Schizosaccharomyces pombe: one gene and its partners. Changing the gene in region 1 together with any one later gene gives a genetic interaction. Each region holds a gene or a part of one and is shown in the gene's direction. Other genes may lie near its edges.

Region 1 (4,997 bases):
AAAGTCGGATCGCATTTATCAAAAGAAATCTTATTTATTTAATCAGTCTCACATTCTTTTTCCTTTGTTTGCTGCTTTTAAAGTTAAAAAAAGGATATGTCGCAGTATACTGCCATTGTCTTTTGTCAACATACCACCAAAATGACAGAAATTTTTGCTGCTATTTAGTAAAAATATTTCAAATTTCGTATTTGTAAAGGTTATGCATAGAATGGCTGAGACTCATACTTAAACAGTATAGGTATCTAAACATTGTATGGGGCGATTGTAGCAGCAAACGATTAAGTAGTTTGCGTTAGTTACAACACCTAGTAATGGTTTGCTACCTTTTGTTTAAAATAATAGTAGACGAGATTGCCAATGGCCGATGTTGTTTATCTTAAAGTTGAAAGTGAAGCGAAACCTTTTTCTAACTTTAAGAGTGGGATTTCTTCCATCCAAAAGAATATGCACTGCAACAAGATATAGGACACAGGCAAATTATTTGACAAAAACAAGGAACCGTATAACTACTTTTTTACTTTAATCTACAAATAAATTAGTAGGATGTAGAAAAAGGTATCAGTGATAGATTATTTATGTATTATCTTAAAAGTATTGTTTTTTGCCCTTTGAAGGGCAAAAAGCAAAAAGGATCAAAATTATGCTCCAGCAGTGACTTGAACACTGGGCCTCTTGCTTACTAGGCAAGCGCTCTACCACTGAGCTACAAGAGCTAGTTGGAATCATTTGCTAAAAGGTATATATATATGCATAACTATTAAGAAATGCTCAGTATTTTTTTGAAATAGAAAATGTTGATATTCGGTTTCTATTATTAAGTTTTAAATTCCAAACATTGTAAATATGTCGTCGTTCTTTACATTCTTTTTTTAATAAATCTTGGTTTAAGTTAAAACCCAATTTTACAAGCTCGCAACTTTGTTGTTAATAAAAAAAAATGTTACACCTGCTAAATAAATATTAAAATCAAACTGTTGTTGTGTGGTATTACCTTATTGAGCTTAATTATAATTTCAGTAAAAATTTATGTTCAATTTTTTTTTTTACTTTCAATTAATTTATTTATTTATTAATTTGTAAAATATTTAGACCTTTGCCAAATAATTATTTGTTAATTTTTCATTTTCTACAATCTGTATTAATTAAGATAAAATTGTCTTCAAAAATACTTTTAGTTTTTGGAAAATCATTTGTTTCAGTGTTTGAGTATCCACATGAATTGTCTAATTTTATATCACTATTATTTTTTTATTCGAACACTCATAAATTGTGTCTATTGTGTTACTTTCAATTTTAATATTTACATTCAAAGTTGCATATATTTTTTACGAAATAATGTACTAAATGATTTAGAAATATTTAGATACGATAGTAATCAATACTAAATTTTATGACACATTCTAAATTCACTTACTTTGGCTTTCTAATTTCCTGTTAGAAAAATTGTCATTCCTAATTGAATTTTGCAGCAATGCTCGAATCAGCTCCAAGGTTGATAAATTTATAGTCAAGAAATATGTAATTATTTATAATAATCTAGTCTAGTTGACCTGGAAAATGTTTGCTTTTCTTACTACCAACCTTCTCTTATCGACCTACAGTTCACCCAAGCACAGCGAAATACCTCAAGATACCCTTCTTTTGAAAACCACCTATTTCAGCAAAAAATCTTTCGCGGTTGTACTTTTAAGTAAGAAGCAAACATCAAAGATTGTTTGCTCCTTCATTGTTTAATCATGGGCAGAGAAATCATTACGTTACAAGCTGGTCAATGTGGTAATCAAAGTATGTTCACCTATACTACTATTAATCAAATCGAAATTCTAATTACTCACAAACTTGTCTAGTTGGTTCACAATTCTGGCAACAGTTGTGTTTGGAACATGGCATTGGGCCTGATGGCACGCTAGAAAGTTTCGCAACTGAGGGTGTTGATCGAAAAGACGTTTTTTTCTACCAGGTTGGTTTATTGATACACTTTAAAGTTTCAACATGTTAACTCATTTTAGTCTGATGATACTAGATACATTCCTAGAGCCATTTTGATTGATCTGGAACCAAGAGTATGTTATCGCATCCTTTTATTAGTATTTGCTGAAATATTCAAGTGACTAATGTCCTCTTTACCTTAGGTGGTCAACAATATTCTAAGCGACACCTACGGCAGCCTTTATAATCCCGAAAATATACTTATTACCAAAAATGGAGGAGGTGCTGGCAATAATTGGGCTAATGGTTATTCGCATGCTGAGAGGATTTTTGAAGATATAATGGACATGATAGATCGTGAAGCTGATGGAAGTGATTCTCTAGAGGGTTTCTCGCTTTTACATTCTATCGCTGGTGGAACGGGTTCTGGGCTGGGCTCTTTCTTGCTTGAGAGATTAAACGATCGTTATCCCAAGAAGATTATCCAAACTTATTCAGTATTCCCTAATAGTCAATCCGTATCAGATGTTGTGGTTCAGCCTTACAACAGTCTTCTTGCATTGAAGCGACTGACATTGAATGCTGATTCTGTTGTTGTGTTGGACAATGCAGCACTTGCTCATATTGCTGCTGATCGGTTACATACTCAGAACCCTACGTTTCATCAACAAAACCAATTGGTAATTGATTTATATTAGGTCTTTTCATCAACTAACTATTCTAGGTTTCAACTGTTATGTCTGCCAGTACAACAACTTTAAGATATCCTGGCTACATGAACAACGATCTTGTCAGTATAATAGCTTCATTAATTCCAAGTCCTCGCTGTCACTTTTTACTAACCTCATACACTCCTTTTACCAATCAGCAAGTGGAAGAAGCAAAGGCCATTCGGAAAACTACCGTGCTTGATGTGATGAGAAGGTTGTTGTTGCCTAAAAACCAGATGGTTTCCGTCAATCCTAGCAAAAAGAGTTGCTTTATTAGTATTTTGGATATCATTCAAGGAGAAGCAGATCCGGCGGACGTTCACAAATCCTTGCTTCGCATAAGAGAACGACGATACGCTTCATTCATTCCTTGGGGACCAGCAAGTATACAAGTTGCACTTTCTAAAAAGTCGCCCTATATAAAAACGAACCACCGTGTTAGTGGACTTATGCTTGCAAATCACACTAGTATTGCCTCTGTATGTTTCTGCAAATTTTTTTTTGAGACATTTAATACTAATCTTTGTAGTTATTCAAGAGAACACTAGATCAATATGATCGTTTGCGGAAACGAAATGCCTTTTTAGAGCAATATAAAAAGGAGGCTATTTTCGAAGATGATCTTAACGAATTCGATTCTTCTCGGTAAGTATCTTGTCTTATAATTTCATATTTTGAGTTAATTTACTAATGTATTTGACAGCGACGTCGTTGCCGACTTGATCAATGAATACGAAGCTTGTGAAGATCCCAATTATTTATCTCTTTAAAAAATCCTTCATAGTTTACGATGTCAAAGCAGACTTAAAATATAAAATTAATTCTCCTATCCTAGTCCTACTTCATAATCTATGAAATTCTGCTCAGCAAAGCATTTTTACGCCTTTCTAAAAGAATGGCTTCAACATCGTCTCTAGTTGGTATTTGCTCAATGACAAGAGGTTTCCAATCTTGTTCAACTTCATCACCAAGGTTCTCAAGATGTTTATGTTGTTGTTCTTCAATCTTTGCCTCAAAATCTTCTAATAGACTCTCTTGTGCTGGCGGTATGTAACCAAAGTACCAGGCGTCTAACCTTCTTTTCTGCATCTCCTGTTTGCGCTGTCTTTCCGGTATAAAACTCATATCAGCTTCAAAAAGTTCCTTAACGCCAGGTAACTCTCGAGCTCTTCCGTAATAACGATAATCGTCTATATCACTGATTTGTTCTCCTTCATCCTCAAATAGCTTTGCTTTATTATACAGATAATTAATCCCACCCAGATCACGAATTTGTACCTCCCATTCGTGTTTTTCACGCATCAATCGATTAATTGCATCGTTCAAATCTCGAATTTGATATTCAGGCAACGTTGCTATTCATGGTTAGAATACACAGAAATGATAAAAGCGGAATCAAGTTTAGCAAGTTAATTAAATTTGCTAATAAAACAATCTAGGACGTACCACTTTGAATTCGAGAGATCTTGCGAGAGATATCTTTTACTACACTAGCCCTATGTTTTTCACATATCGGCACAGACTTAATGCTTTTTATATCCTTGGGTCTCTTTTCCGTTGGTTTGCTGCCCACTACATACTATAACAAAGGGGTTAGTGACTGACGCTTAGGTTCTCATGCATATTCGTATGAACCTTACTTTCGCTGATGACATTGTAAAATTAAATGAAAATGATAGACTTGGTAATTAAAAAAATAGAGAAGGAAAGGCTCATTAAAATTTGACACAGAAAATAAATAATATAGACAAGTTTTATGGTATTTATCGAAATCAAGGCAAACCCAACACTTAATTAATTGACCTTCAACAGCCAATTCTTATTTAAGTACTTGAAAATTTGCTCAAGTTCCACCGATTGTGAAGACAAGCAAAAAACTTATAAGCAAGAAATTGAATGCATACAAGTAGTTATTTCGTGTAAGAAACACTTTATAAAACGGAAAAGAACAGCCAAAGTGAATAAGCTTATTGAAGCGCAACAAGCTTCTTAATTCATGGATAACGAAGTCCTCTTCTAAAAAAAGTACTAGTCTAAATAGTAACTAAGTATTTTATGTTCACTACAATTAAAGGATGATATTATTGCATAAATGGTCCCTTTCAAAATGATTACCACTTTTAATCCATCGTATTCAATATACTGTCAAGAATTAGGCAATTGTTGATGAAGTAGGTAACATCAATCATTTGGAAAAGTTCATTTCATCTCTTTGGTATCGGCTTTAACCTAAAAAAGAGTTGTTTATAAGAGATTAGCAGAACGATTTATAAGTATACAGTTGATTTTTTGAATATCTTACAAAGACTTAAAATTAAACAATCGTTGAGACCGTCAAAATCGTTAAAACTGACT
Region 2 (5,426 bases), on another chromosome or scaffold:
ACTTAGACTATCAAGGCAAGATAGTAAAACGCCTTTCTCAAAAATGGCAGACGTTTCTAAGTCGGATTCACTTAGTGAGCTAAGCTGAAGTTTGAAAAGCTCCAAAAAGGAAGCGTAAAACTCTGGTTCAGTTTCCGCCAATTCATAAGACTGCAATAGCAAACTCAACATATTCTTCCAATGCTCCAAAGCACCATAGTGGGAGAGAATAGAGTAGCTCAGAAAGGAAATTGATAATTCCGCTAATGCAGAGATGGGATTGTCATTCCACACGCTTTGGACGAGTCTTTGAAACAAAAACGATTTATCAATTGCTTGCTTAGACCGTTCAGGTCCAGTGGCAGACGGCGACCAGCTTCGTCGTAAATTGAATTCAGCGAAATTTAATAGTTTATCGTCTCGAGAGGGTTTTGAGAATTCCGGATCTTGTGACACAAGATCAGCGTTGACATACGTTGAAGTGTCTAAGTAGAAAAATTCACCTTCAGTAGCAAAAATTCTTTGAAGATCTTGAACTGTAATGAACTTCGTCAACAAGTCCCAATCCTTTGTTGATTCAAAGGGATAAAAGTTTTCGTCATATAATACATCAAGCTTCTGCAAAGAAGCTGTTTCAGATTTCGAATCAAAGTCGATACTATATTTCATATCTTCATGGACCATAGCAAAAACTCCAGAAATTAATCCAGCAGGGTATGTTGGAGACCAAGTGAAAAGATGAATTCCACCTTTTACATTTCGAATACCTGGAAGCTTACTAGCTTCATATGAACTCTGATCAATGCCAACGTAATATGTATTTAACCATCCGACAAACTCTATACTCATTATATACAAAACAAATTATTCCATATCTTCATTTATTTTGTCTATTAAGTTGAATTTAAGATCGTAGACATTGGTCAAAGCTAAGTTTCAGGCTACTGATTTAAGAGTTATAGCGATGGATATTATAAAAAACACCATAATACATTAAAGGTTTTTGGGTGTCAGCAATTCTACACTACGCTATAATATACATCGTTTCGTATCACTAAATATCGCCTGCTAGAATAGTAGTTAAGATCTATTTATTCATAGTTACGGATAAAATTCCATCTATCTAAATATATTCCAATTGATATAAATTAATCGAGACATTTTAAATAAAGCTACAACTGAACCTCGCTCCTTTAGTTTAGTCGTTAGCTAGATCGCTGACTGGACACTATTAGACTTCTTTAAAGTAATAAAAGTAACAATTGTTAGTTAAACGTACAACCTACCGCTACATGGCAAATCGTAATATAAGCTCACCGAAATTTTAGGTAGTGTTACACATTTCCGCGGACTTTGTAATTCACTTAAAGACACGTAAGGATACACTGAATTTGTTTGAGATATTCCAAAAATCAATCAGGGAATGTGGAATTACATAATATAAATAATATTACTTAAGTACTATTTGTTAATGGAATCAATTGTATTCTATACACCATTGATTAATAACATAGATGGATATACACGAGAGGCTTGAGACATATAATGATGCGTAGCATTGGAATTTGCTTAACAATTTAACACTCATATTTAACCCACGTAAAATAGTTTTACGTTTCTTAAAGCATCTGCTAATCAAAATCTGTTTTGTCGAGCTGATAAATTCGTGTTTATAGTATTGGGAAGAATTACTCTATAAAACGCTCTTTTTAACTTATAGATGGTAATTGAGGTAAGAGGTACTTCTGAGTAACTTATCTTATTAATGCGAAAGAATACAAAGGACATTTCCATAAACACAGGGTATAAACGACAGGAAGATGCTTTAAACACAGATTCTGAGGACTTAATATATCGACCAAAAAAAATTATTAAAACAAATCAAGAGGATGCAGTACATGATTTGAAATACGAAAATTTCGTATCAAAAAATCACGTTTTACAAAGCGACATTAATGGCAAGAAGAGGGACAGCAATCGAGACAAGGCCGCTGTAGTCACAGCGCCAATTGCTTCTACTCATGAATCTAATTACGAAGAATCTGTTTCCAAATTTAAAGAGAGTTGGCTGCCTCAATTAAAAGATCTCATTGAATCTCATAAAACAATATGCGAATCAACGTTAGCCTACGAGAGTGATCAAGCTATGGCTTCTTCTAATACATTAAAGAGAATAAAAGATTTAAAAAGCAAACCAAAAAATATTATACAGTTAGAAAGGTTGCATATGCTATCTAATGGCGAACATCGTTTATTATCGAAAGACGAAACCGATGATATTGAGTCTGCATACTTGAACCTTAGATCACATCTTCAGGTACAAGAACAGGTTTACGCTGAAAAGGATCATGAATATTCGTTACAACTTCAATCATACAGAGAGGCAGCAGAAAAGGCCAAGCAAGATAGTAAGAATACATGTCTTTATGCTGACTTTATTTGATTACTAACTATTTTAAAGTTTTAGAAACAAAAGAAAATCTTTCCTCTGAATTATCGATATCGAATATCCAGTTGAAGGAAGCCAAGGAAAGGTTAGAAGCTGCGAATGCAAGCTACCAAAAGCTACGTCGAGAACACAAAGAACTTGCACTTTATCATGAAAAGAAAACACATTCTCTAGTTTGTAATCTAAATGGTGAACGAAAATCCTTTGGGGATTTTGTTGAGAACGAAGTAAAGTCATATAAACATGAATATGCCAATATTTGTGAATCACTTCGGAGAGCTCTAGTGCTGATACAAGGTTCTTGTACTGAGAAAATTTTGCGTTTTAAAGAAAAAATTCTGGACTTATTAGAAATGAAACAACAAGAAGAAAATGATCGAATATCCCACATTGAATATGAGAATGATTTAACGGTTAAAAAGCTTAAAAGGAGAATATCTGAGTTGGAAATGGCAGTAAAAGAATATGAATCGGAAAAATCATACTCGGAAAAAGAATATGAAGAAAAAATCTCCTCTCTGCGTATAGAATTAGAAGACAAGTTAGCTGAAATTGACATGCTTCGAAATAAACTGTTAAAGGAAGAGCATAAACACCACTCTACATCTGAAAAACTTGAAGAACTTTCTAAATATGTTGCAAGTATTCAAGATAAAGAAAGAAATAATGGCCAGAACGCATTGGAACTACAAGCTCGAATCCAACAGCTGGAACGGAGAAATGAAGATATGTATAATAAACTGTTAGCAGAAGAAATAATCAGACGAAAGCTGCATAACGACATTCAAGAACTAAAGGGAAATATTCGAGTTTTTTGTAGGGTTAGACCACTACTCCCAAGTGAAGAATCCGAATATTGCATTGCTGATGTTTTACAATTTCCAGATAAAGACGCACTAGAGCCACAAAAACTTATTCTTAAAGGGCCTAATGTTGAATCATCACTCGGGCATACTTATGATCGTAATTATGAATTTTCCTTTGATCGAGTCTTTGCTCCTGAAAGCGATAACTCGTCCGTTTTTGAGGAAATATCACAGTTAATTCAAAGCGCTATTGATGGTTATAATGTTAGTATATTTGCATATGGACAAACAGGATCGGGTAAGACGTACACAATGTCGTCACAAGACGGTATGATAGCGATGTCAATTAAGCATATATTTAATTATCTATCAACCTTGAGGGAGAAAGGGTGGGTGTATAAATTGAGAGGTCAGTTTTTGGAAATTTACAATGAAACGATTTATGATCTATTAAACAAAGCGGAAATGTTGAAAAATCCTAAGCACGATATTCATCATGATGAAAAGGAAAGACGAACAACAGTGGATAACGTTTCAATAATTGATTTTAATGAAGAAGATACTGTTTACAAGATGCTAAATCGAGCAGGAGAAAATCGATTTATAGCAGCGACAAAAGCAAATGAACGGTCTTCAAGATCACACACTGTTTTCATGCTGTATATAGATGGTGAAAATTCTAGAACCAAACAAATATGTAAAGGTACGCTAAATCTAGTTGATTTGGCAGGTTCTGAGCGGTTAAGTTACAGTCAGGCAGTTGGGGATAGACTACGAGAAACGCAAGCTATTAATAAAAGTCTCAGCTGTCTTGGCGATGTTATCCATGCACTTGGAAATGCCTCAAATAGTACCACGAAGGAAAAGTCTCACATACCATACCGAAATTCAAAGGTGAGTATTAGAATGAAAAGTTCTTTACGAAACACGTTCTTTAACTGTCAAAGTGGCTACTTATTTGCTTTGCAGCAGTGTGTAAAGTCTATATTGAAAGCATTTTTGTACTAACCAGACATTAGCTAACTTATTTGTTAAAATATTCACTTGGAAAAGGTGCCAAAACCCTGATGTTTGTTAATGTGTCTCCTTTAAAGTCGCAATTCATGGATACATTAAATAGTCTGCGATTTGCAACAAAAGTCAATGATACAAAAGTAGGTTCTATTAAACATTATAAACGTTAAGCTTATTTTAGAGTAAAAAATGTTTACCAAAGCATTTAAGATGCTGGGTTTGGTGGAGCAGCTGCTGCTTGTGCTTGAATGATGGCACCTTTAACTTTGCTGAATTCTTCTTGTGAGATTTTTGTTTGATTTTCGAGGCGTGCACTATAATTATGAATTAATAAAATGACATACGCAATTCGATAATACAAATGAAGAAGTACAACTCGCATTTTTAGAGAGCGATTTTAACCTCAAGGAAATTCTTCTTTTTCAAATTTCAACAAACATACATTTCTTTATTAATGAAATCCAATCTTGTTTTAACGTTGGTCTTTGCTTCCTCATGACTTTGCTTTACAAGGGTAGGACCGATTTGCTTATATATATTTGAGTCAGGAGCCACTTTTTCCAATTCCTAATTCGCATTAACAAAACAATTCTAATATAAATGGAGAAAATAGGGAAAATAGTAATTTTTGTGGCCTTAACGTACATTGAGGACAGTAGTGTTTTCTTGTAATTGGGTTTCCAACTTTTTTAAACTTTCGACATAAGTGCTTAGTTCTTGGGAATTTCGTTAATTATTTAATTCGATGCAGAAGGTTTTGATTTACCTGTTTGTAGGTTCTGATATTTTTTAGCTAATTCCTCCATTTCTATTCCTGTGTAAAAAGACGTAAAAGGATAGTAGGTAAAGAGACATTCTACTTACCTTGAAAGTCAGCTGAAATAGCGAAGTTCGTTGAAATTCTATATTATGAACAAAATATATTTTAATTGTGTGATATGATTGATTTTATGACTATATTGGATAAAAACGAGAAATAAATAAAACCGAATTAATTTAAACAGAGAAATGTAAGCTACACTAGGAAATCGATTTATGAATGAGTGAATGAAGGTGTTGCTGAAATTTTGAGTAAAGACTCACTGTTTTGATACAACAAAACTACTTGGTTCAGTATATAAATTAGTGAATTGCAAACCTTTTTTTTGAATAAAGGATATGAAAAATATTGTTTTAGT
Region 3 (4,654 bases), on another chromosome or scaffold:
TGGACAAAGAAATGGAAAAAATTGTAGAGATGGACTTAGAAGAAGAGGATATGATGCACCAAAACGATCCAAATAACCAATCTCCAAAACTATTAAAAGAATTTAGAAAGCTGCATGAACCTAATGCTGAAGATGCTCCGTCTAGAGATTATATCCCTCTTCCTCCTCATAAAGGTGTTGATATTCTTTCAGAAGTTGAGGCTGTGAAAGATTGGAGTAAAAGATTACATCTTGGACCTAGAGCCTCCCTTCCTAGTGTTTGTATGTACACATTCCATCACACCAATAACAACATGAACTGTGCTGAATTTTCTCCTGACTCCACAATGATCGCCTGTGGTTTTCAAGAAAGTTATATACGGCTATGGTCAATAAAGGCTGACAAAAAATCATTACCTAAGTCAACTTCTGTAGAGGATTCAGATGGCTCAGTACGTTTACTGAGTCATTCTGGTCCTGTTTACGGCACCACATTTTCTCCCGATAATAAATATTTACTATCTTGTTCCGAAGATGCTAGCGCCCGGCTGTGGTCTGTTGACACAAAAACTGCTTTGGTAGCTTACAAGGGACATACTGGCCCGGTTTGGGATGTTGCCTTTGGTCCGTTTGGTCATTACTTCGCTACTGCTTCTCATGACCAGACTGCACAACTTTGGAGCTGTGATCATATATACCCACTTAGAGTTTTTGCTGGGCATTTAAGTGATGTAGACGTATGATTATTATCTTTTTTAAGAAATGTGTTTCCTTATGACTGACTTGTATTTAGTGCGTTACCTTTCATCCAAACTCCGCTTATGTGCTAACTGGATCAAGCGATAAAACATGCAGGCTTTGGGATGTACATAGAGGACATTCTGTTCGTGTTTTTAATGGACATACCCAACCGGTAACTGCTGTTGCGATTGCCCCAGATGGTCATACTATGGCAAGTGCTGGTATGTTATACATTTGTTATTACTAATGATTTTACTAATTTGATTAAAGACAGTGAAGGTCTAATTCACCTTTGGGACATAGGAACAGGAAGGCGTATAAAGACAATGCGAGGTCACAGAGGCAACATATACTCTTTGTCATTTTCTCGCGAATCCACGGTCCTCGTTAGCGGAGGGTCAGATTGTACTGTGAGAGCTTGGGACGTTTTCAAAACTAATTACAACAATCCTGTTTCTTCTTCTCTAACGGGAAGTGTTGTTACACCTTTCTCTGCTAAAACATCCACATTTAATGAAGTCAATTGGTCTACAAGGTATGAGAAAATGTAATGGAATCGATATATTTACTAACCTTCTCAAACAGTCCGGATCAAATGGTAGCTCTTTATACGAAGCAAACCCCTATATTTAATGTCTCCTTTACGCGTCGTAACCTTTGCTTAGCAATAAGCGTTAGTTAGATAAATAAACCTTTTTTGATCTTCAATATGTTTCTTCCCGTCCATACTTTAAGAAATTTGGCATTATATAAAAAAAGATTATAAAAAATTTAATTTAAATATTAAACATTATCTTACTTTACGATAATGAGTCAACAACTAACTGCCTTTTAACAACTTTGAGACATCCATGTATCGGAATCGAAATTAGGCTGAATAATTCATATTTGATGTTCCGGAAAAGCTTTTAATATTATAAACTTCATAAAGGACTTCTGATGATACATTATATATTAAATTTTTCAGTAGCTCCAATATTTACATAGACCATAACAGCGCTAAACATAAGCTAAAATAATTTCATGTTTGGACCCTAAATTATATTATTTAGAAAAAAAATTAATAATATGAATTAATTGAAAGCATTCATATGCAATTATATACCTAAAAAACGATTAACAGGACACTGAGTTTTCGTCTCAAATCTTGGTGGTGAGCTTTCGTATCCCACCTATAAGCTATCACGGGGTTCGACTCTTGCCGTTCACCAACAACCTCACTTTTATTGTATATATAGTGAATGTTGTAAATTAGAATTCATCTCGACTTTGATATTTTGCGAGATACCGTCTATGTTTAATCCTAGGTATACGCAAGGTACAATTTATCCAGGAGCGCACCCGGGGCTGTTGACGCCAGACCATCAACATGCAGCAATATTATCTGTACAGAATTCGCCAGCTTTAGAAAATAGTAATATTTCTGAACATTGGAAACAGCAAATTGCACTTGCAACTCAGTCCAGGTCCTTCAGTTCACCACACCAACGAGCTCATAATGCTGCGGCTTTAGCACGAAGTGGAGGACCTGGGTTTTCGATGAATTACAATGCTCGGACTGGAGCTTTTACCGGAGGCCCTAATGCTGCTGGCTTATCCTCGTTAGGGGGAAAGTACAATACTAGCTCCACTACTACAACATTGACGACCTCAACAACATTAAACACTTCCAGTGGTACTACCTTAAACAGTACGTCAAAAACAACCACTTCTTCTGTTGCGGTTGATGACCAAAAGTCGAAATCTGACTCTAAGAAAGAGAGACGGGATTGGACTTGTTTGGACCTTGGTGGTATTGGTTTGAGAAATGTGAGCACTGATTTATTTAAATTCTCTTTTTTGACTGAATTATACATAAACCATAATAATCTTACCCGATTACCACCTGAAATTGGCAAACTGAAGAATTTGGTTATTTTGGATGCCTCTGGAAACAGCATTAAAACTATTCCACCAGAGCTTGGTTTACTTACTGAGCTTAGAGAAGTCCTATTGTTTGATAATATGATTAGTGTAATACCTGCCGAACTCGGTACCCTTTTCCAATTGAAAATTCTTGGTATTGAAGGTAATCCTCTTCAAGACGTTTACAAGAATCAAATCATGGAAAGTGGTACTGCAGGTTTAATTGCTGCTTTGCGCGATGGTTGCCCTGTTGGCCCTCCTCCTCCTGAGCGTGGATGGGAAAAACTTGTTTCCGATGATGATGATGATGTTAATGACAATGTTTCAACCTCTGTTAGAGATTTAACGGCTGCTGATTCTAACAAGCCCTCTACAACATCTAAGAATCTCAAGTTTACTATTATGAGTTATAATGTGCTTTGTGAACGTTATGCTACATCCACATTGTATGGCTATACTCCTTCATGGGCACTCTCTTGGTCGTATCGCAAAGATTTAATCATGCAAGAATTAGGTGGTTATAATGCTGATATCATTTGTTTGCAAGAAGTTGATGTTGAGAACTATGATACTTTTTTTGCTCCACAAATGAGTTTGAAAGGTTATAAAGGTGTCCACTTCCCGAAAAGTCGCGTACGAACTATGAATGAGGTTGAACGTCGCATCGTCGATGGTTGTGCTACATTTTTCAAAACATCTAAATATGTCATGCACGAAAAGATGGTGATAGAATATAATCAAGCACCATCTCTTCGTAGGCAAGACATTAAACTAACGTCTAACATGTACAACCGTGTTATGACTAAAGATAACATTAGTGTGATTACTCTTCTTGAGAATAAGGAAAATGGATCGCGATTGATCGTTGCAAATTGTCATATTCATTGGGATCCTCAGTTTAGGGATGTCAAGGTTATACAAGTTGCAATGCTCATGGATGAGATTGCACAGGTTGCAACAAAATTCCGTAATATGCCTTCCAAGATTCCTTCTGACCAGTTAAAGGATGAAAGACCTACCTATCCCGAGTATTTAAAGATCCCCATCTTAATTTGTGGAGATTTTAATTCCGTCCAAGGCAGTGGTGTTTATGACTTTTTATCATCTGGTAGCATTAGCCAAAATCATGAAGATTTTATGAATAATGATTACGGAGAATACACTGTTAATGGACGTTCTCATGCATTTAATTTGAAATCTGCATATGGTGAATCTGAAGCTCTCTCCTTCACTAACTATACACCTGGCTTTAAGGGTGCCATTGATCACATTTGGTACACCGGCAATAGCTTGGAGGTAACCGGTTTGTTGAAAGGAGTGGATAAAGATTATCTTTCCGGCGTTGTTGGTTTCCCTAACGCACACTTCCCTAGTGATCATATTTGCTTGCTGGCCGAGTTTAAAGTGAAACAGGAGAAGACACCCTTACCTTCATCAAAGTTTAACAATGATAAAAAATGATTGTTAGTTTTTGTCGTGTTTGTAGATTTTAGAGTGATACTTAGTAGCAAGTAGATGGATTTGATGTATGATTCTGCATTTCGCAAGTACCAGGTATTTGGTTAAGTTTACATAGATATCAAAGCAGTGTAATTTTCCTTGTCGTAATAATTTGAATAGATAAATTGTAAATCATTGAGGTTTCGTTTTTGTTTACGTAGTTATTCGTTTTACTTTTATTGGAAATTAGCATTAACAAGGGGTGAACCGCCACACATCGTACTGATGGTTTGCATTAAAACGTTGATTTTTTTATTTTCATAATAAAAATGAGCTTCGCCATTTCATCAACATTCAACCATCTCTAAAAATCGATTGTGTTGAAGATATCCTTATTTTGCTCAACATAACTTCACAAAAAATTCATAAAATATTTATCTATTTTAAAAAACCAACAAATTACAACGAGCGTAATACTAGAGAAATATAACATCAGTAAACGAAATAATATTGATAAGCAAGACTATGCTATCCTAGACTCAAGCCAAAAGTGCTGAAATTTTAATCATTCATTAATGTTTATAATAGT

What was found. Genes that interact genetically often act in the same process or in processes that back each other up.
Region 2: mutations in gtb1 (region 1) and pkl1 are lethal when combined (synthetic lethality), as found in Schizosaccharomyces pombe (2 studies listed by BioGRID).
Region 3: mutations in gtb1 (region 1) and ccr4 impair growth when combined (synthetic growth defect), as found in Schizosaccharomyces pombe (one study listed by BioGRID).

The regions. Positions count from the first base shown.
Region 1 is NC_003423.3:2,789,731-2,794,727, forward strand, and holds gtb1 (gamma-tubulin Gtb1), read left to right. Parts: upstream 1-1,620; 5' UTR 1,621-1,739; coding exon 1,740-1,788; exon of another isoform or gene 1,789-1,850; coding exon 1,851-1,963; exon of another isoform or gene 1,964-2,012; coding exon 2,013-2,066; exon of another isoform or gene 2,067-2,135; coding exon 2,136-2,612; exon of another isoform or gene 2,613-2,656; coding exon 2,657-3,121; intron 3,122-3,171; coding exon 3,172-3,287; intron 3,288-3,345; coding exon 3,346-3,412; 3' UTR 3,413-3,491; coding exon of another isoform or gene 3,492-3,997; 3' UTR 3,998-4,088; coding exon of another isoform or gene 4,089-4,221; 3' UTR 4,222-4,282; coding exon of another isoform or gene 4,283-4,297; 3' UTR 4,298-4,454; downstream 4,455-4,997. Other genes in the region: protein Cwf12, read right to left, coding at 3,492-3,997, 4,089-4,221, 4,283-4,297. UniProt on the Schizosaccharomyces pombe protein: Tubulin is the major constituent of microtubules. The gamma chain is found at microtubule organizing centers (MTOC) such as the spindle poles or the centrosome, suggesting that it is involved in the minus-end nucleation of microtubule assembly.
Region 2 is NC_003424.3:3,437,234-3,442,659, forward strand, and holds pkl1 (kinesin-14 family minus-end directed microtubule motor Pkl1), read left to right. Parts: upstream 1-1,656; 5' UTR 1,657-1,699; coding exon 1,700-1,711; intron 1,712-1,749; exon of another isoform or gene 1,750-1,753; coding exon 1,754-2,387; intron 2,388-2,440; coding exon 2,441-4,128; intron 4,129-4,253; coding exon 4,254-4,418; 3' UTR 4,419-4,453; coding exon of another isoform or gene 4,454-4,562; 3' UTR 4,563-4,690; coding exon of another isoform or gene 4,691-4,815; 3' UTR 4,816-4,884; downstream 4,885-5,426. Other genes in the region: U5 snRNP-associated protein Aar2, read right to left, coding at 1-828; pfd6 (prefoldin subunit 6), read right to left, coding at 4,454-4,562, 4,691-4,815, 4,894-4,964, 5,015-5,054.
Region 3 is NC_003421.2:636,893-641,546, reverse strand, and holds ccr4 (CCR4-Not complex subunit Ccr4), read left to right. Parts: upstream 1-1,923; 5' UTR 1,924-2,013; coding exon 2,014-4,086; 3' UTR 4,087-4,112; downstream 4,113-4,654. Other genes in the region: taf5 (transcription initiation factor TFIID subunit 5), read left to right, coding at 1-716, 773-941, 991-1,255, 1,306-1,402. UniProt on the Schizosaccharomyces pombe protein: Acts as a catalytic component of the CCR4-NOT core complex, which in the nucleus seems to be a general transcription factor, and in the cytoplasm the major mRNA deadenylase involved in mRNA turnover.